3 linked regions of the Rhinolophus ferrumequinum genome follow. The protein of the gene in region 3 interacts with the protein of the main gene of each other region in a biochemical or structural test. Links are inferred from orthologs where the notes say so. Each region holds a gene or a part of one and is shown on either strand. Other genes may lie near its edges.

Region 1 (6,964 bases), on a different chromosome or scaffold from region 3:
CACTGAAGTCACCCTGACATCCTCAGGCCAAGCTCAGCACACTCCCCTCTGGATAGTTTTTGTATCTCACACACATTAAAACTTTCGCATAGCATTGTACTTGGTTATAATGCTAATGTTAGATTTTCTGTCTGTCTTGCTAGGATGAAACCTTCTGGGGGCAAAGCCCCTCCCCAGGGCGCAGCTCGTGGCCCATCCTTAGGAATGCACTGGGAGCCGTCTAGAAGTGGGAAAATGACAGGAGAAGGACTCTCCCCAAGGCCTCCAGAAAACACGCAGCCCTGCCCACCCGTGGACTTTTTCCCATGGGACTTTTTTTTCTTAACTTGGAGTTTTAATTGTGTACATAAATAGCAACATGAGAACAAGGAGTTCTAAGGCTTGTACATTATCTCTAGGTGAAAGGATTTCTGATTAGTCCCCTCGTCACCCAAGATAACCAAGCATCACCCAAGATAACCAAGAGGCCTAATACAGTTTTTCCTGAAGACGAAAGCCAGTTTATTACATTCAGTACTGACTTCTCTGCCATTTTTCTGAAGAAATACTGGCTTACTGTATTGGAATACTGGCGTTTCCAATGTTTACCGATAACTGATTAAAATGGACAGAACATGGAGTATTCTACTTATTTCTGGGTGAATTCTTCACATTTCCTGGCTTTTGAAAGTTCTCCTTCCACAAATCTTCTATGACTATGTGTCCTCGTAAACCCCAGGCATATAATTTCTCCCACTGACCTGGACAAATATGATGGCTTGTTGTGGATAATAAAGAGAGGCAGCTAATTCCATGAGACCAGATGGATAGACCAGCTTTTTTATTTTTGAACTTTTAGCCAAAAGAAGTCCAACAATGCCAGCAAACCCAATAACACCAAGTCTTGGAAAAAAAACTAGGAGGTGCATTTTGGAGATATTCATAGCTGTTTAACCCCCACTAACAAACTTTGCATCTTGGGCTCAGTTTGGGAGTGTATTTCCTAACACCAACTTGTACATGGCTGGCAATACTGTCAGAGATGTGAGATGCTTTCTTCAAGTTGAGTCTTTGGCTCCTCCACATATTTAGATTGACCCTCAGGAACAGAGTAGAGTGAAAGCTCATTAACCCCCACAGAAGTTTTGTGAGGTGTGTCCTTTTTTCTGTGATGCATAGACTTTGAAGGTGAGCAGACTCAGGCTGGCCGGCCCCCAAAATCTCTGAATTACCTTGAACATGGCGCTGGCAACGGCGGCTCTATCCCATGTGACTTCTGACCTATAGCACTGGGAGGTAATAAATTTATGTCACTTGAAACCACTGATTTTGACGTTACAGCAGCAATAGAAAACCAGTACATTTTTAAATGAATAGATTTAAAAAGAAAAACCGCAAATCTGGAAAGGCTACCCGGCTGCCTAAATGACCCAGGCTGCCTGGTGTTCTTGAGTCTCAAGGCTGACTTCTAATGATTTCTTTTTCTGTTTTCTTCTGTGCTGCCAAAGTATGAGAATTGTATCTATCATCCATTTCTGCGTTGTCACAGAGATGACACTGGGGATAGTGTCTACAACAAGCAGAAACACCCCTCTGAGGCCCTCAGGGTGTTCCTGGAGGGAGGGGCCATGAGCTCCTGGGCTGGGCTGGAGGCTTCTCTTGTGGTGCTGAGCTGCTTTTGGGGTTTCTTTCTGCTTTTCTTCTGCATTCCAAAACGCTGATACCACCTTCTTGATAAGTGACGTTTCACTGTACTATTGTGCTCTTGGACTATTAATCATCCTCTTTGATTTTATATCTTTTTACATGTAGTCAATTATGTTGCTATTTATATTTTAAAATGGCCAATTTCCCTCCATTTGCCTCAGCGCAATAAAAAATAAATCTGTTGGCTAAAGGGTTAACAGTGTAGCTTTGGGTTTTTTTGTTGTTGTTTTTTTCTTTTTGGAGACTTAGACGTGCAGGTGCGTTTTTATATGCCTTTCACAAAAAGAATCCAGGGCGAGGTAACTAGGTTTTGAATGTGCCTTCACTGTACATTCATAATAAATTCTGAACCGAATGGCACATTCATGGTTGCTCCCTGATTTAAATGAATGGCTGAATGAAAATTTGGGGGCACAGCTCACCTTCAAGAGGGCAATTCTGTTCACATTCTTACCTGACTCACCGTTCTTGATTTTTCTTGAAAAACTAGTTTTTCCTCTCTCCACAACAGCGGTCCCTTCCTCCCTGCATCTTTGTATTCAGGCAAGCTTTTTTTCCCCCCCACACTGCCGTTGGATGAAAGATCCCGCCTTTGATTGAAATGGAACCTTCCACTATTGAGCAGGCCTTTGCTGAATGAGTCATCGGGGCGGTTGCTCATTGGCTGAGGCCGCTGGAACCAGGGGATTGCCTGGCGCCCGCTGCAAAGACCTACTTCATTCACAGAAACGTTGGCTCGCTCGCTAGCCCTTTCATTCACACAAACAGCATTTCATTCACATTTTGCTGTTTTTGTCTGCTTCTAATGAAGATCACGGTTTGGGAATGATAGGGCATTTTCGCTTTAGATTTGCGGGGGTGGGGTGGGGGGTTGATTACCACCCCAATCATCTATGGGGTGTACATTTTGCTGTTGCTATGCAAGCAAGGGGAAGGGAAAAGATGAGAGCTGTGCGCCTGCCCTGTTAGGCCTGCGGCCTTGAGCCGGGAGCCGCTGCTCCCCTGTGTTCCTGTGTCCAGCAGCCGGCCCGCAGGGACTGGCACTGGTTACAGTTGCTCCATAGAGCTCTTCAAGGCTGGCTGCTTCATGTGTCACTTGTCTAGTCGTGGGTGTGAGAAGACTCAGGGTGACCTGATAACGTGCTAGAGGTAAATTCATTTGCTTGCACAGAGGTAGCTGGAAACTTGGACAGGGACTGTCCAAAGACTGTGTCAGGCAGGCTATTTCAATGCCCAAGGAAGATGAGAAAGACAGCAGAGCCCACGGTGACAGGGGTCGTGGGTTTGAGCCCCGCAGACCTCCGGGGGGCTGCTCAAATGCCCTGCTCTCTGAGAGGGAGGCCTGTGAGGTTCTCTTGCAGCCTGAGTCTGATTCCTGAAAATAAAAAGGGGGCATTTTCCTGCGGATTTGATGTGTAAGGACAGCAGCTGCATTTTTTCTTTCCCTTACTGCAGGGCTGCAAGCCACAACCGAAGGGACATTGACATGTATTTGTAGTGTTTCTTAGGCATTTTTCCAGAGCTTGAACACATTCAGTTAGAATAAAGCTTCAAGCACAGACCCTTTTTTGGAATGGATTTCTGGAGCCTGTTGCCATTCATCAAAGAAGCACTCTTCTTCTTCTTCTTCCTTTTTTTTTATTTTTGGAAGTAGATTTTCAACTTAACCCTGGCTGAGAAAGTCTGCTGTAAATTAGCAGGGGAGAGACCTTTACTGGCTCTGTGCAGGAGTTCATATGTAGATTTTTTATTTGTTTGTTTTGGAGGAACTGTATTGCCACAAAGACATTTGTCTTGGGCGCTCTGTTAATTTGAAAAGAAATATCCAGGAAAGTGGTAATTTATGTTCACCTGGGATTGAATATCCCCTCTACCCACACTTTTTTTTTTTTTTGCTATGTAACAATTCCTGCTTGTTTTCCAAATCAGAATTCACGAGGATCCGCTGAAGATCTTATTCTTAAAAAGACTTCGTCACATTTTAACGCATCGCTGTCAGATACTTACAGGCTCACACAGATGGGCTGATGGGGAAGAGAAAACCCTAGCGTAGAATAATGGGTTTCAGAAAGTTCATCAGATCATCTGAAAAAAACTGGATTTACTTCTGGCACAAATGCTGAAGGGGGGATGGGAAAGTGAAAAATCAAAGGTTGGAAGGAAATATCTGGGAAGGTAGAAAAAGGAAATTTGAGAATTGATTGGCTCTAGTGTGCCGTTAGTGGGTGTATGTGGTTTTTTTTCTTCTTCTTTTTTTTTTTTTTTGCTACAGGAAGTGATTTGCAGTGTTCACCGAGCCTTTGTTGAGAAGGGTCTCCTCTCGGAGTGAGTCATGCTTTTGCTGTGAGCAGCTCCAAGCAGCTGGGCGCTCATCAGAGGAAACTATGACTTTTGAAAAGCGAGCGTGCCGCCCTCAGCAGCCGCGTCCGGGGCCGGGGCTACGCGGCCAAGGCGGCGCGGGGTGTTAGCGGTGGGAAGCCTGCGCTCCCTCCAGCGCCCCCGACCCCGCCGCGGTCCCGGCCGCTGCGTCCACCCCGGGAACAGCTGCTCGCCTGCTATGCGTGGCAGCCCGCGCCCGCGCCCGCACCTGCAGCGCCCGGGCGGATGCGGCGAGCCCACGGAGGGGCATGCTTCCACGCACCAAGTACAACCGTTTCAGGAATGACTCGGTGACATCGGTCGATGACCTTCTGCACAACCTGTCGGTGAGCAGCGGCGACAAGGTCTCGGCGGCGCGCGCGGCCCCGGCAGCGGCCCCCTACCTAGTGTCTGGAGACGCGTTGCGCAAGGCGCCCGACGATGGCCCGGGCAGCTTGGGCCACCTGCTCCACAAGGTGTCCCACCTGAAACTCTCCAGCTCGGGCCTCCGCGGCCTGTCGGCGGCCAGGGAGCGGGCGGGCGCGCGGCTCTCGGGCAGCTGCAGCGCGCCCAGCCTGGCCGCCCCGGACGGCAGCTCGTCCCCCGGCCCCCGCGCCCCGGCCATGCGCGCCGCCAGGAAGGGCCGGCCCGGCGACGAGCCACCGCCCCGCGCGCCCCCAGCCAGTGAGCAGGTGCTGGGGGCCGGAGTCACCTACGTCGTTAAGGTAGGTGCGGACACGGGCAGCCGGGTGGGGAAGCTTGGGTCCGCCACGGTGGGTAGCCTTGGAGGCCAGGAGGTGCGCACTCCTTCGCAGCTAGCTTGCCTGGCACCGCAAACGCTCCGGTTGCGCATCCATTGCGAGGTTTAAAAACGGTGACCTCATTCTGTCTTGGTTTGCCTTGGCTCCACTCCTTTGGCATGCCTTCGCCACTTCGCTTTGCCATGTGTCCGGCCTGTGCTCCTTAGGCATGGGCCCCTATCCCTGAGAACTGTACCTCAGGCCTACCTAGGACACACTTGAAAGAACTGGGCAGCCCCTGCGATGAGAAATGCAGGTGGTGCCACTACTTCTGCTGTGTTTGCCCCAGGCAAGGTGGATGGTTTCCTTCTCCCCACAGCAAGAATTTCCAGCTCCTGGTCATGCCGGCCAAATGCTGTCTTGTTTTATGTAAGACAAGCTGTACTTTCTTACCCATCAAGGTTTTCCTTCGTGTCTGCCTTTCACTCCTACCTAAAGGTTTTGGTTCACAGCAGCAGGAGGAGAATTTGGGGCTGTTTTTCCCTAGGGACTGTAGTTTTTCATTTAAACATATTGAAGGGAACTGAGCTTGTGGCGTCTGGAGCCTGGAAAGGAGATTTTTCCTCCAATACAAAAATTATAAAATCACGCCTGATATGGTCAATAAAATTCCTCCCTTAGGCAAGTATTTTGTGATGTTTAAGGAACAAATATCACTTCTCGGCCTTTTGGCTAAGATCATGTGTAGGAACAAACACCCAGCACTGACCATTGGCCTGCCCCACTTCTGTTCTGCCTTTAGAGAGCAGGGAGCTATCACAGTGCTAGCTCCACAGCTGGGCAGACGTCCCAGACCAGGAGACGGGATCAGAGGTGCATTGTTTCAGTCTGGTCACCCCAAGGCATGGCATTTTATTTAAGAAAAACAATAAGACAAATCTATCCCTATGGTGTTGTCAATTGAGAAACCTGCAGGATACCTGGTCTGTACAAACTGGCTGCAGATCCAGTTTAAAAATTCAACAGACGACATTCTGAGGTAAAATGTTGTATCTGGGTAATTTTGGAATCAGAATATTAAAGGAAACAGTTAACTTTGTGGATTATCTGTATCTAAAAAGTACTGACAAAGGATGTAATCATCAGTGTTAAACATTGAGCCGCAAAGGCTGCTTCGTCTTAGCCTCTGAAAATTGACTAATGTATTTCACAAAAGAGATGTAAGTCAGCATAAAATATATACATCTGGTTGAGTTTATTATAAAAGAAAGTGAATATTCTTTTTGTATTCTTTCTTTAATATATATAACCAGGAGCCAAAAACAAAAAGACAAAAACCAAACAAAACCCCCCGACAACTTTGAGGTTAAACAGTGACATCAGAATATATCACGTCCAGCATGTTAGTATAATTGCTATAAATAAATAAATAAATAAATAAATAAATAAATAAATAAATAAAAGCCTATGTTTAAAAGAGACAAATCAACCTTGGCACAGCTTTCTATACTTGCCATGTTGAATATAGAGGGTAGTTTTCAAATGGAAGGAGAATTGTCAAACTTTTGCCTTCATTTATTTATTTTTAGTTTCAGGTGTACAAAACAACATAATGAATAGACATTTACACCCCTCACAAGGTGATAACCCCGCTCCCAGTCTATTATCCCTCAGACATCGTATATAGCTGTTACAATACCACTGACTATATTTCCTATGCTATATTTTACATTTCGTGAATATATATGTATATATATGGTGTGTATACATATATGGTATATATATATAATTATAGTTTACATTCAATATTATTTTGCATCAGGTTTAGGTGTACAGCGCAGTGGTCAGGCATCTACTTTTGCCTTTAAAGATTTCCTTAAAAAAAAAAATTCACTTGGCTTAGTGCTTTGCTCTTGCTTTTTGAAGAATGAAGGCAGACATCCAGCTCTCCAGGTCGGTCGTGGCTGAGTAATGATGAACCACTAAAACAAGTCTGCCCTGCTGGGCCATTCTGTTGGTGTAAGGTTGTGACACCCAGAAGCAGCTACTCAAACAGGCATAGCGCTGAGTCGGGTCTGCCCAGGGCCTTCTGGGGCTTGGGGTCACTTTGTCATGCTTCACCTAAAGGGTTGCAGTGAGCTGGGGTGCATAGCATGGCTAGTTAGTGCCTGGTGCCATTG
Region 2 (6,959 bases), on a different chromosome or scaffold from region 3:
TTGTTACTGACTCAGAATTACCTTTCACACACTGAGGTATCAAAACTGCAAAATATTTCAGAATGTATTACATTCATATTTGGGATGCCAATATAATCAGAATGAGCCAAATTCATTTTTTAAATTAAATGTTCAGATTCTTTTCACCCACAAGTCTTTGTTCAGCATTTTTGATCATTTAGTCTTCATTAAATACTATGTTTAATTAAATATGTAGAGATACTTTTCTAAAATCATAGATATCAAAATCGCTTTATTAAAGGTAAAAGCTATTTGAATTTTCCTCTTTTGGATATTGTTCTGTTTTTCAGTACCTCCTGTTTAATATTATCTGTGAATTTAATTAACAGACTGTTTACTTCCCTTTGTTAGTTGGTGTTACATAACACCACACCTAGCATCAATTCCTGCAGAATCCCTGTAATGCCTTTCTCCATGTAGATATTTCATTGTTTTTTTAAAAAATTTTTCTTCAGTTTTTGACTCATGAAACTTCAAGGAGTATATCTATGTCAGGAAATTCAGGGGCTTAGAAGAAAAGGAAAACACGGAAGCATAAATTGAAGTAGAAATTAGCAGGAAAAAAGAGAACATGAATGAGAGAAGGGCAAAGGGTCAAGGTGAGAAGAAAAAGAAATAAGGCAATAGACAAAAATAAATGTAGAAACATTTCACTCTTCTGGAAAAAATAAAATGTCACTGAAGGTAGATGACTGATTTGAGATTAAGGAAGTACGCAAGGAAGAGTAAGGATGAAAGCCTACATCTGTCAAATAAAAGAAATATATAACATATTTGAAAATACCTCATCAAAAATACGTGGTAATCTTTTTGGATGAAAAGGACAGCAAAACTGTAAGATTAAATATAAGGTAAGATGTTGGTATTAGTTTGATTTAAAATAGAGTCTTTCTTACTAATTGCACAATTGCTGTCCAAAGATACTGATCTATTCCAGTATTTGTTAAAAGGATGGAGATCTGTTCAAAGCAGTTGGCAAGGATGCCTATCACTGGACTAGGCAGTAGGATAGACCACAGGTTTCTATTTGCAGTATAGTTTTGCAGATACATCCACCTAAAAGTAACTAAAAAACTATATAACTTAGTATCTGATTGGTGTTGGACTTCATTACATATTGGCCTTTAATTGCTAAGGAATGTCAAAAAAGGGGAAGGAGGTAATTTTGCAATTTATAGTAGAGAGTCTGACTTGGAATCTCAGGCAACAGATAGTGTGTGAGCTCTTAGGGAAGAGAGACCAGTGATAACCAAGAGCTGGTGATATCTGCCAGCCCAACCTCCTACATTCAAAAGCTGATGGTGGTAATTGGGATGGATGTGATGCAGGACTGGCATGTTAACACACAGAGTTTTCAAACACAGGTTACATGTAAATTTGTTGGCAGTGGGTGGAATAGGTATTTTGATGGTCTCTTCTAACTGTGAGGATCTAAGTTTAAAAAAAATACAAAATTTCGTCAGGTTGGCCACTATAAGAAGTAGGTCTTCATTATTCTCTTTAGTATTATGGAATTACTTCATTATGTACTTTTTCACGTCCTAATCTCCTTTCTAGAATAACATAGAGTTTAGCAACCCAATACGTACATCTCTTACCCACCTACCTAATGAGTGATACTGAGTTGGCTTTCTCACCTATTCCTCTTTCTTTCAGAACCATTTTTAGGTATTGCATACCTCCTACCTGATTAGCATACTATAGTAAGGTGGTTCTTAAATGGGTAAACTTGGAGGTTCATTAAAACATTAATTACTGCAGTTTCTAATTCAGAGTGTCCAAAATGGGGCCAATGAATTTGCATTTCTAACAAGGCCCTAGGATAATGGTGGTCTGAGACCATTCTTGTGACTAGTCCATCTTCATTCTCCCAAGTGATATACTGTGAAGAAGTAAGCACACTGAAGGAGTCCTCAGGACTACTGTTTAATCAAGTTTGTCAATGATTTGGCAAATAGATTATGCAAACTGCTAAAGTAAAGGAAATTGTCTCTCATGCACCTTTACAACTCTTTTAATAGTCTTTTCCTTTTTTCCCAGGGCCTCTGTAACAGCCCTTTCCCATCCCCAATGTGCTATGTTGGTTTGATCATCCTTAGAGAAAATATCGATCTCAAAGATCAATGTTTACTGGTATTTAATGTGGGATTCCTCCTGGGAGAATTTAAAAGAACGATATATGAATCCAAAAGGGCAAATTACCTATACTGTAATTTCAAACTAAGGGAATGATTCCTCCACCTATATAAATACATATAATAGTGTTTATAAGTTTTATTTATTCATATATATGTGTATATATATAGTGTGTGTGTGTATATATATATACACACACACATACAGAAGGTGCCAAAAAATGTATACACATTTTAAGAAAGGAAAACTGTATTAAAATTGTAATAATACATATCGATAATAAAAGATGACTACAAATCACGTTTGATTTCTGCAATTACAAGAGGTGATTAAAGTGGTTACCATCAGTGTCCAGACACTTCTGATTACGGCAAACTACTGCTTGAGCAATGTTGACCAAAGTCCACTTGTACACATTTTTTTGCGATAATGCATATAATAGTATGTGATAATGCATGTGTTTATAAATACATATTTATTCATATATATGTATGTATGTGTGTCTATGTGTGTGTGTGTATATATATATATATATATATACACACATACATACACGGAGGGTGCCAAAAAACATATACACATTTTAAGAAAGGGAAACTGTATTAAAATTGTAATACTCAATATATACCGGTAACAAAAGATGAATACAAGTCATGTATAGAAGTATAAAAGACAAAACAAAACCCACCTCCTTTTTGGCTATATTAAGGGTGAGATCTCAGTTTATTGATAATTTTTGAATGGGCACTTCCGGATATTCTTGACATTTGCCTTGTTGAAAGTCCTCTTGTGTGTTACATGTGAATTATGGAGCATGCCTTGCTTTCTTTTTCACATAGAAGAGGACAAAAGTGTATTGATTGGTGTGGTATGTAGCACCCCTCCTCTCCACACCTCATTAGTACCCAATAGACTTGGCAATGGCACAGGTGTGTGTGTGTGTGTGTGAGAGAGAGAGAGAGAGAGAGAGAGAGAGAGAGAGAGAGAGAGAGAGAGAGAGAGAGAGAGAAACAGAGGAGGTGAGGTCAATGAAGAAAACAAAACGTGTATAGTCATAGAAATCTGACTTCACAGCCATTATTTCTGCGAAAATTCTTAACGCTTCCCATAGTCTCTCTCCCCCACCCCCGCTCCCCCCGTATCCATTTCGTTTTCTTGAGTTTCACAGCCTAGAGCTTTATTTCATTTTTTTAGTTTGCAATAGTCATATAGTGATTTATATTATGCAACAAAAATGAAAACATTAGTACTGCCTCAACCTTCGAGGCAGTCTGCAAGTCCCCCATCCCAACACCCCTACCCCGGTCCTTGGCCGTTAGGTGTTTGCGCCGCCGGCTAATGGTGTTTTTTCTACCGGTCAGGAAGCTGTGAACTGGCTTTGCAGCATCTTCCGTTCCTTTTCCCCGTCCTTCCTCTCTAGGCTTCTTACCCTTCTGTCTCCTGTTTTCACGGAGCTGAGCGGCAGCTTGCTTAGATACCCACTCTCCCCTTCCCCTCCCCACCCGCCCATCAAACAAAGCCCAGTGAGACAGGCGCGCGCCACTGGCGACACCGATGCGAGAAGCGGCCGCGCCGCCACGCGCTCGAACCGGAGTGGGACAGCGGGCGCGACCGCGCATCGCGCGTCCCCGCTGCTTCCTTCCCTCCGGACTCTTCCTTTTCCTTTCTCCAGGCCCATTCCCCACCCGCTCCCGCAACGCGCCTGTGCAGAAGCGCCCTCTCCCTCCTCCTTCCCCGCCCTTCCTTCCCTCCGCTCCTCCTCCGGTGCTCCGCCTTCCTTTCTCTCTCGTCTATTTCACTGAGAGCTCCAGGTTGGGAGCTGTTCAGTCGACTTCCCCACCACCCCGCCCCCCTTCCTCTTTTCTCCCCACCCCTCCCGTCTCCAGGCCGGTGGAGGATGAAGCGGCTGCAGTGGCCCCAGCCCCAGCAGCGGCACCAGCGGTGGCTGCGGTGGGGGTGGCCGGAACTGGGGTGGTGAAGCGGTGGCGGCGGCAGCGGCGGTGGCCCAAGGAGCGGCAGCCGCCCAGCCGCTTCCCCTGTGCTTCCCTTCCTCTTTAGTGAGCCAGGAAGTTTTTCGCTTCTGTGCATGTATGTGCGTGAGTGTGGGTGTATAGGGGAAGGTTTGGGCGGCGTTTGTGCAGGCGTTGGGTTTTTTGCCCACTTCGCTTCCCGTAACCCGGGCAGCTCGGGAGCCTGGGCTGTGGCCCGAGGAGGGGGCGCGGCGGCGACTCTCCTTTTGTTGTTGTTTCCTCCGCCTGGGGAGCTGAAGAGGGGACGCGTCTGGGTGGGGCGGCTCGGAGCCCGGGCCTGGTGGCCCCCGGGGCTCCCGGGCGGGCTGGGTAAGGCAGAGTAGAGCGGACTTCAACATGATGGCGGCCGAGGCCGGCAGTGAGGAGGGCGGTCCGGTGACCGCCGGGGCAGCAGGAGGCGGCGCGGCCGCGGGCTCGAGTGCCTATCCGGCAGTGTGTCGGGTGAAGATCCCTCCGGCCCTGCCTGTGGCAGCCGCCCCCTATCCTGGGCTGGCGGAGGCCGGAGTGGCCGGGACTCTGGGTAGCGGAGCCGCTTTGGGGTCAGGGTTCCTAGGAGCCGGGTCTGTGGCAGGGACACTGGGGGGAGCCGCACTGTCAGGGGGAGGTGCTGCTGCTGGCGTGGCTGGTGCTGCCGCCGCCGGACCTGGTGGGGAGATGGCTCTCACCAAAGGGACCACTTCATTGCCTGCTGAGAACTTCGGGGCAGGCGGCGGATTCCCTCCTCTGCCACCTCCTCCTCAACTGCCCCCTTTGGGCGCGGGCCTGGGAACAGTGGACGAAGGTGACTCTCTAGATGGACCAGAATACGAGGAGGAAGAGGTGGCCATCCCGCTGACCGCTCCTCCAACTAACCAGTAAGTCAAGACCGCTGTTCAGTGACGGGGAAAGTTGGCTCCTGCAAATAAGTGGAAAAACATACTCGTTCTGTCAGCTATAATTTGTTGTGAAAAGTTTTGAAGCGTCAAGTTCTACGCGTAGGGATTTAATTTGATCACTTATCTTCCCTACGGGCACATTCCCTGGCTTCCTCTGGGAAGATGTGAAGTTTTTAAGATGGGAAGCATAGGGAAATGTGTATCAGGTGACAACCGGATGTGGTTCTACCCCTTCTCAATTGAGGTGGCGTCCTGGGATTCAGCTGAGCTGGCAGCTACCAGGGCAGTCGTAGTCTTATATAGTACTAACCTGTGTGTTCTCTGTTGGAGCTGGATGATTAATTAGAAGTTTTGAATACAAGTATTTGAATGAGTGTTGTACTGATTATCATTTAAAACATGCCTTGGTCAGAATGCTTTGTTTTTGTTCCACTGCAAATTCTAACTTCTGCCTACTGAAAAGCATAGCGATGCAAAAGTTTTTGGATGACTTATGAAAACCTGTGTCAGCGAGAAAGAAAAGTTCTATGACTTACAGGTGTGATTAAGGGCCAGTACTCCTACAGTATCTGTAACTTGTGCCATTGAATTCCTGTGTATTAATATTAGTGCCATTCTTTTATAGTTGAGACTTTGTAAGTACAATATTGAAGTAAAACAAAATTAATAGTGTGCTTCCCTTTCAACGCTTTTCATTGGTGACCAATACAGTATTCTATTTCTAAATTTGACAGTCTACTGCAGAATATATCGAACAAATGACTTTTCCGTATAAAGTTAGTACATCTCTCTTGTTATCTTCATAATTGAATTTAGGTATGTGTTTATGTATGAAGGTGGACCTTGATGAGAGGAAAATGTTGATGTTCGGATGGTGATAGGAGGCAAAACTTGTATAGAACTCTCACAGCTGTCCTAATAGACCTTTAGAATTTCTACAACCTTGGTGAATATCAGAGGAAAAAAAAGGTTTGATTGACAGTTACTCTGGACACTTGAAAGTATTACTTAAAAAAGTTTTTTTGGATAAGCTTCTTTGGAATATTTAGAAAGGACTTTAAAAACAAATTAGGAAAATTCTGTAATACTAGCCTATTCTGTCTTAAGATGTAAGCCTATTCTGTCTTACATCTTTTGATACTTAGGTAGAAAAGTAAAGTTAGTCTTATGTCAGCCATGGTATAGGGGTGTTGTTTTCCTTTATGTTGTTCAATACGAGTTCAATTTTCTTTATCTAATTGTATTCAAACTTACCATGTCAGGTCTAGGTATTGCAGACTTTTCTGAAGGTGTTCTGAGAGTGTTAAAAATTCAGATTTTACACACTGTTTACACACCTTCAAACCTTTTTGAAAAAATCAGTTAAACATAAAGTACCCACTACATACTCAGCATTATAGTTATAATAAAGTGCAACTTTTCATACTGAAAGAATATAGTCTTATGCCAGTTCATAATTGAGTTAGGCATATTTAGTATATTGTAGTTTTAAATTTTTTACAAATAAAATTTGTAGAGCAATTTTAGATTCACAGCAAAATTGAGCAGAAAATACAGAGCATTCCCATTAAGTTTTTTGTAATAAACATAAATACGTACGTAACGTAGGAAAATTGTGTTTGTGAGGAGTCCATTGTATGAGATTTTCATTTGGTATTATGTATTTGAGAATAAAAATATTTGTGTGACTATGTATATGAGATTTGTTCTATTTCTAAAAAGTATCCTCCATTTCTAGTATGTTTTTTAAGTTTGCCACTGAGAAGTACAAATTTCCCTCTTTTCTTTATCTTAGATATCAACCCAGAGTCATTGGAGGCAATACAGTGTAGTGGTTAAGCGTGCAAATTCTGAAGTTAGACAAGATTTGGGTTGGAATCCTGACTACCACTTACTA
Region 3 (7,734 bases):
CAGTCCTCAGCAGCACCCCCCTCCACCCTCAAGCCTTGGGCACAGACAAGTGACCTCACTAGCGGGGGGGAGCTCTGGTAGTGGTGGTGGGGTCAATGTGAGCTTTGTCTTTAAAACTGGAAGATAAGGAGCTGGTTGCCTACCCTACTCCGGCTTCCCTTCTCACTCCCTTCCCCTATCCCAACACACTTTCCAGCCTAGAGTATTCTTCAGCAAATATAGAGAGGCCTGGAGCAAAAGAGCAGCAAACTCCCCCCATTCTAAGCCTTCCACTCAGTTTCACTGTCTGAAGAGTAGTTAAAAAGCCTTCCAACATGGCAATCCTCACTCACATTAGGTAGAGCCTAGAATTGAGGTCCATGAGGAATGTCAGTCTGGGGGTTTGCTTCACCTTGTAAGTAAGTACAAACGATGTAGGGGCTACAGGAAATCTTGACCCTGAAGCCCTATCCCTATCTCTTTCCTCTGGCTCAGAGAAAGACTGTGGGGAGGGTGTGGGGAAGATACCACCTGTTCCAACCACCCTTCCCTGAGGCGGTGGCAGCTTAGTGGGAGGCAGGAGTGGGAATGGAGGAAGTCTGATGAGGTCCCAACCCCTCCTCCTAAATACATCCCTGGTCTGACCACTTTGAGGGCTCCCATTCCCTATCATTCCCCACAAAGGGAACGGGGCAGACAAAGAAGGGTAAGTAGGCAGGCAACTCCCGGGGAAACCTAGGGACTCCAGGGTCCTTGGGCTGAAATGAAAGAGACTAGGAAGGTTAGTCTTTTCTGGAACAGCCCCACCCCAACCCCCTTCCTGGCAGGACACCCCCTCTTCCAAGTCAAGGCGCCAACCCTTCTCTCCAGATAAGGGAGGAGCCAAGATTTCTGCACAGGGAAGTGGGCTGTGTGTGTGGACGTGCACACACTCGTGAGACACACAGATAGCTCCTCTGCTGGCCCAGAAATCTATACTAGCTCTGTTCCTGGGTTTCTTTATTAGGAAGAATTTCAGGTGGCCCCATCCATTCCACCAGCCCATTGTGCAGACTTTGAGTCCGTGCTCGGAAGGCGACTGTTAAGAGGTCCCAGTTCCCTGCCACCCAGAGGGTAAAGTCCATACTACATACACAGGGAGCAAAGGGCCTGAGCGGGAAGAGAGTATGAACACCTCTGAAGAGGCACCTTGGGAGAAGGCGGGGGGGAGGGGAATTATAACAATCCCTGTTGTACTCAGGGAGCAGGGGCACAGGGAGGGGCTGTGTCACAGGCCCTCCTAGGGTAGGGTACTGGGGTGGGTCTCAGCAAGAATCTGCAGCCCCTCCACAAGCACAGGCCTCCACTCCAACGTCCCCCACCCCCATCACAGTCAGGACAAAGGGGCTATAGAAGGACTGAGACAGGGCCGGATGCCCAGAGGCTGCATGATCCAGATAAAGGGTAAAGAGACCCAACCAAGCCTGCCCCCTGGCTCCCTCAGGGAAGGTAGCCAGGGTTCCTGGTAGAAGATTCCAGGGGTCTGAAAGGGACAATGATAGAGTCCCACTACTAGGTCCCTCCCACTCTAGTCCCCAGCCCTCCCTGTCCCCCCCCCCCAACTCCACCAGCTGGGAGTGTTCACATCTCAAGATCCCAGGGTCTAAATTTAGGCCCAGCAACTGTGGGGGAAGCACAGGTGTTTCTCCCACTCCCACTCTGGGGAAGGGGCCCTGGCTGTGCCAAACCCCAGAGCTGAGATCTAGGGGGAGGGGAGAAGATCAACAGGATTCCTTCAATGCCAGCAACATCAGCACCCCTCAGGTGTCCAGAGACACCCCAAAGGGGTGGACTCAGATGGCATGGGAGTGGGAGGAGGAATAGAAGAGCAATCTGACTCCTCTAGACTCCTAGAGACAGAGTCGGACAATAAACAGAATGGTGGTGGGAGAGAAGCTGGGTCTAGGAAGAACTCCCCAGGAAGGACAGGAATTCAGAGGGTGGGAGAGGAGCCCTGTTAGCCCTCACGTTGGGGAGAGAAAAGACAAACAGGCGGGAAATCCTTGAGGCTACTACAGCTCAGCTCCAGGTCCAGGCCTTTGCGTATAGTAGATGCTCAGTAAATTTTAGTTGATTTGCTCTGGATCTTGACAAAGAAAGGTTGGTCATGTTGGGACCAGCCAGCTTTATGGTTTTTAGGGAAAGAGGACAATCATACTCTGCATGGCCTCTCACCCTGGTATCACCTGGACTTGGCTCACTGGTTAATCTCAGCCCTCCCCAGGGCAGGCTCACTCACGGAAGAGGAGGTGCCTCTCTTGTTTTTCCAACACTAGAGAACAACAACCCCCTCCAACCCTTCCATAGCTCCACCCTGTCGGCAAAACAACAAAACTGGAGGTTGCTGAAACCCGGGGATGGGAGGGGGGTGAGGGTGGGCAAGGGACTGGGGAGCAAACTGAGACACCCCCCCTTTCTCCAAGATCTCCACCTCCAATCATCTTACGTTTACAGAATGGAAGTCCCAGCTCCCCTCCCTGCAGGGCCCCCCCAGAAGTGTGAACTCTTTCGGCATCAGTCCTATCGCAAAGGGCAAATTAGAGGGTCGGCGATGCACTAGGGAGGAGGTGGTGGTGGTGGAGGGGGTGGTCCAGGAATCCCATCTCCCCCGGTCCCACGCCTCGAACCCGAGCCAGACGGTCCCTGCCCAGGTGATCCCAGCAGATCCGGGGTCAGCATCCCCAGGCTCGCGCCACCCGATCTCCTGCGGCTGCCCCAGGATTCCGCGCACTCAGTTCGGAATCCCAGGTTCCGAGCCTGCCTGTGTTCACTCGCCGCTTACCTGCCTGTGAGTTGCCCACCTCGGAGCCCCGGGCCAGGCTGAGAAGGAAGCCCAGCACCTGCAGAGCCCCGTTCGCCCTCATGACTCCAGCGGAGGGTGAGCGGAGCCCAGCCGAATCCGGCCCCGGGGGCCCCTGGACTAAGACATCGAAGCGGAGCCACCTGAGCCTCCCGCGAACTGGTAGCTGCGGCGGACGAGGTTGCAAACTGCAACCGGAGCTGGAGCCAGAGTCCGGGGCGGGATGGCAGGGGAGGGGTGTGTGTCTGAGGGAGCGCAGAGGGAGGGGGTGAGTCACGGCCGCGCCCCCGCGGGCGCGAGGCTGGCGTGGGGACTACTGGAGCTTCCACCCGCCGCCAGCACGCCCCACGCCCAGTGCCCCGCAGCTGGGCCAAGCGGATCCAAGATGGGTCTCACCCGAATTTTTCTTTGGGAGCTGGACTAAGGGGAGGTCAAGATTCCAAACGCCCCCAAATGACTCCAAAGGGGTAAGGTAATGGGGGTGGGGAGAGAGCGCCAAAGCCCGGCCCCCTGAAAGTTGGCCTCGCCCATTAACCAAATCACTCAACTACCCTAGCCGGTTGGGTCACTTGGGGGATTTTTCTCTCCGAATGTGAACGTTTCTCTCTGTGCTTTTGAGGGGGAGGATATTTTTGCCTCACGCTCAGTTCACCTCAGTTTCCCCGGAAACCCCTCGAAACCCCATAACTCATCTACCCTGCCGAGGAACCCGAGCCCCAAGGCCGCGTGAAATTGTACTGTCTCCGGCCGCTTCCTCCTCCAGACCCGGCGCCGGCCGGGTCTCTCCGGGGGATTTGGTTGAGGGGCGGGGGTGGTTTCCAGCCTGGGAACAGACCCGGAGCCCGCCTTTCCACTTCCACCCCGGGAGGGGCTCCCGCACCTGTCGCCATCCCCTCTGCTGCCCCCCACGGCCGCCTGGGAGAACAGCTGCCTCCTCTTCCACAGGAGTCTGACCGCGCCGTCGGGGCGGCGGGAATTCCTAAAGCTCTTCTGGGGACCTAGATGGGCACACTATCCCCACCACAGGCGCTCACACCTTCCCTGGCGCCTTCCAAGCCCGGGCTGGAGCTGGGAAGGAGGAGGGGGTGGTGAAAGAGGACATGGAGAGGGCACTAGAGACTAAGTCCACGAATGGCCTGGATCCCTGGCATCTCCACCACCAGCTCCCGGATCCTGGCCAGAGGCGGTCGGGCGCTCTGCGAGTGGCAGCCCCAAATCCGGCTAGTCTCGGGACGGATCCGCCGGGCGCCCCCTGGTGCGGAACCCGTGGCAGTGAGGCTCCACAATTGGCATTCCGGATTTTAGCCAGAGAGTTAATTATTTTCTTCACAGTTTTTAGCCTGAAGACGTCGAGAATAGTTGATGAAGAAAAATTTTGCCTCTCACTCCGACCCTAGACTACCGGCTACAGTTCTTTAAACTTGCTCGGTATTGATATACACCCTAGAGGGTCCACTCTCTGCTGGAGGCTTACCTTTGCCGGAGGGCGTTGGCCTTGCCCTGACCACTTGCATAACAATCATAATACAGTAGTAATCAACGTCAGCGAAACCTTAACATATACACACATATACCACTTAATTTGCAAGCGTTTCCTCAAACTTACAGAATGTTTTACTTAACATAAAAATGTATGCTAAGGGACCTCAGTCTACATTTTATGGAACTGGAAAATGTGTAACTTCTCCAAGGTCATGTACTTGGTGACAGTGGATCAGGTGATTAGGAAGAGGGGCTCAGGTTTTTGCTGAGGATTTCTTATGTCACACTGATACTGGAGCTTCATCTGCTTCTGATCAGATTCCCATCAGATAACTGAACAAATACCATCTTAAGGCGCCTTTTGTTTTATTACCCATCTCAATTTAGTGTTCAAAGACACTGTTTCTGAAGGAGGAAACCCTCCTTAGTTTGTTTGTAAAACAGTTTTGTCTATTTATAAAGGTTGTTGTTTGAATTTAATGAGAAAAGGCAGGTAGAGCTCTTAATTATTGTGTTGCACTGGACCTTTAAAGAAGAATTCAATGAATACTAGCTGTATTTATTCCAGCTATCACCAACCCCACCTCTCCCTTTCCCAGCTAGATCCCAAGGTGTGTTTGCTGGTATCCATTCTTCAATAATTAGAGAAACATAGGGATATAAACACTGGATAAAGCTGACAAGTGAGGGGCCATCTCTATTGGGTGCTACCCTAACTGAATAAATAAAGGAAAGGAGGCCGTATTTTAGAAAAGCTACAGTTATCCAGAATTCCTTTATCTTTCTTATTTGTTATCTGATGACTTTGGTTCTTATTTTACTGTGAAAATAAAAGTAATCAAAAGAAAACATCCTTATCTTTCTACCACCAATCTGGCCAATTTTCCTCCATCTTCACTTATATACTCTGACTTCCATCTTGTTATAATGAATTGTCCTTGCTGCTATTAAAGCTGTCACTCCCCCATTCCCATCCCTTACCCCAATTCACCCTCCAGTTCTACATCTCAGATCATTCCTTCCTGCCTTTCTCCTATATTATCCCCTTTCTCCTATAGTATCAAATTTCCTTTCTACTAGATCATTCCCATTAACATACAAATGTACTGTAACACCTGCCGTCTTTTAAAAAAACATACAACAAAACAAATAAACTTTCTTTGACCCCATGGCCTTTGTTCCTAACTGCTGCAAGGTATTCTGTCATGTGAATTCCTATGCTTTATTTGTTCATCACTCCAACGATTGCCTCTTGTTTCTGGCTACCACAGCGATGTTGCAATAGAAATAAATACCCTTGTATGTGTCTCCTTTGGTTCTTATGCATAATAAACCACACTCTGGAATATTACACCATAAGTAGTGGGATTTCTGTATCCCAACTTCCTCACCAATACTTGACATTATTCAGGTTTCCATTTTTTTTTTAATTTGCCATGAATTTAAAATAGCACATAGCAGGGGCTGCCGGTTAGCTCAGTTGGTTAGAGCGTGATGCTGGTAACACCAGGGTTGCCGGTTCGATCCCCACATGGGCCAGGATGAGCTGCGCCCTCCCCAACTAGATTGAAACAACTACTTGACTTGGAGCTGATGGGTCCTGGAAAAACACACTTGAATAAATAAAAGTTAAAAAAAAATACGGTGAATGTTTAAATAAATAAATAAATATCACATTGCATTTCTATAATTACTAATATGTTTGAGTGTCTTCTAACATTTTTTCCTTTGTTTCTCTTTTATGAATTGCCTATTCATTTTCCTTTGCCAATTTTCCTATAGGGATTTTCATGCTTTATATCGATTTGCAGCAGTTTGTTATGTATTTCAGATATTAGTCCTTTGTTGGTTTAATTTTATTTATTTATTTACTTATTTACTTATTTATTTATTTTAGAATTTTTATGAGTTTATTTGAGTCAAACTGACAACATATGCCAGGGAGCAAAATCTCAAATGTTCTTCCTTTTGTTGTTTTTAGACATTGCAAATATCTCTTCTCAACTTTCTTCATTAACTCTGTCAATAACTTGTTTACTGAACAAAAGTCCTTTGGTATAATCTGATTAGTCAATTTTACTTATGGTTTGTGATCTTGATATTTTTAAAGACTTTCTTCCCCACGCTTGCAGCACGTTTATTGAGGTATAATTTAAATATAATTGATATATAATAAGTTGTACATCTTAAGTCACAATTTGATGAGTTTTGGCATAGGTATATAATCCAATCAAGATAATGAACATATCCATCACCCAGGAAAACTTTCTCTTGCCCTTTGGTAATCATTTTCCTAGTCCCCGTAATCTCCCGCAGCCCCACCCCAGCATGTATATATTCAGTTGTTTAAGCATCACTTGTTGATAGTAGATTTTAATAATAAAAAATACTAGTACTACATAGTAAAAATAGGTATTTGTGTTTAGGTATTTTTAGGGGAGAAGTTTTCAGGGACTTGTCAAGTAAATACTTAGGCAAAGTAAAAGGTATACACCAAGTAAGTTTCATATAACATATTGCCCCTGCAAGAGTGATTAATGCAAAAAAACAAACAAAAAACAACACATACACAATTAGAACTAATAAGAACATTAAAAAATGTTCTGAGTATAACAACAATACTACCCAATTAATAGTAGTTATCTTGATTCTAAAACTGGATAATGAAGATGCATGAAATAAGTTATTGATTCATCTCACATATATGTATATACAATATCCTAAATAGAATACTAGTTAACTTAATCAAACTGTGTATTAAAAAATAATTATCTGCACACTCTAGTTTCTGAAAAACTTGTATGAAGTAGTAAGAAACCATTTCTCAATAGAAGCTATTCTTGAACTTGACTAAAGTCAGTAGAACATATTTGTAAAATCATCTGGGTTGAGACTTTTGGGTAGTGAAGTCTCTTATTAACATTTTAATTTCTTCAATGTATTTTCAAGTTTTGAATTTCTTTTTGTTTTTAACTTTTTTTATTTATTTGTGTTTTTCCAGGACCCATCAGCTCCAAGTCAAGTAGTTGTTTCAATCTTTGTGGAGGGCGCAGCTTACAGTGACCCATGTAGGGATCGAACTGGCAACGTTGGTGTTAAGAGCACCCCGTTCTACCAACTGAGCTAACCAGCTACCCCTAAGTTTTGAATTTCTTCTTGATCCATTCTGCTGTTTATACTTTTCCAGAAATTTATCTATTTCATCTAGGTTTATAAATTCATTAGTGTATGGTTATTAATAATAAATACTGTTGCTATTTTTTTTTAATCTGTTGTGTCTGTTTCCCATTTTCATTCTGTATTTTGCCTATTTGCATCTTTTTTTTTTTTTGTCTATCATTCTAGTTAGAGCTCTCTTGATTTCTTCTCTGGTTCATTGATTATATCATTCCTTTTATTCTTATTTCTTCTCCACATATCTAATAGATTTAGCC

The links. The genes of interacting proteins can lie anywhere in the genome.
Region 1: the proteins of ERBB3 (region 3) and SHC3 form a complex in vitro, tested with the Homo sapiens proteins (2 studies listed by BioGRID and IntAct, with this or other methods). The link is inferred for Rhinolophus ferrumequinum from reciprocal best matches to the Homo sapiens genes ERBB3 and SHC3.
Region 2: the proteins of ERBB3 (region 3) and RASA1 form a complex in vitro, tested with the Homo sapiens proteins (2 studies listed by BioGRID and IntAct, with this or other methods). The link is inferred for Rhinolophus ferrumequinum from reciprocal best matches to the Homo sapiens genes ERBB3 and RASA1.

What each region holds. Positions count from the first base shown.
Region 1 is NC_046295.1:4,784,401-4,791,364, forward strand, and holds the start of SHC3 (SHC-transforming protein 3), read left to right. Parts: upstream 1-3,962; 5' UTR 3,963-4,313; coding exon 4,314-4,769; intron 4,770-6,964. UniProt on the Homo sapiens protein: Signaling adapter that couples activated growth factor receptors to signaling pathway in neurons. Involved in the signal transduction pathways of neurotrophin-activated Trk receptors in cortical neurons.
Region 2 is NC_046290.1:56,677,597-56,684,555, forward strand, and holds the start of RASA1 (ras GTPase-activating protein 1), read left to right. Parts: upstream 1-3,957; 5' UTR 3,958-4,523; coding exon 4,524-5,041; intron 5,042-6,959. UniProt on the Homo sapiens protein: Inhibitory regulator of the Ras-cyclic AMP pathway. Stimulates the GTPase of normal but not oncogenic Ras p21; this stimulation may be further increased in the presence of NCK1.
Region 3 is NC_046293.1:55,448,984-55,456,717, reverse strand, and holds the start of ERBB3 (receptor tyrosine-protein kinase erbB-3), read right to left. Parts: upstream 3,024-7,734; 5' UTR 2,883-3,023; coding exon 2,801-2,882; intron 1-2,800. UniProt on the Homo sapiens protein: Tyrosine-protein kinase that plays an essential role as cell surface receptor for neuregulins.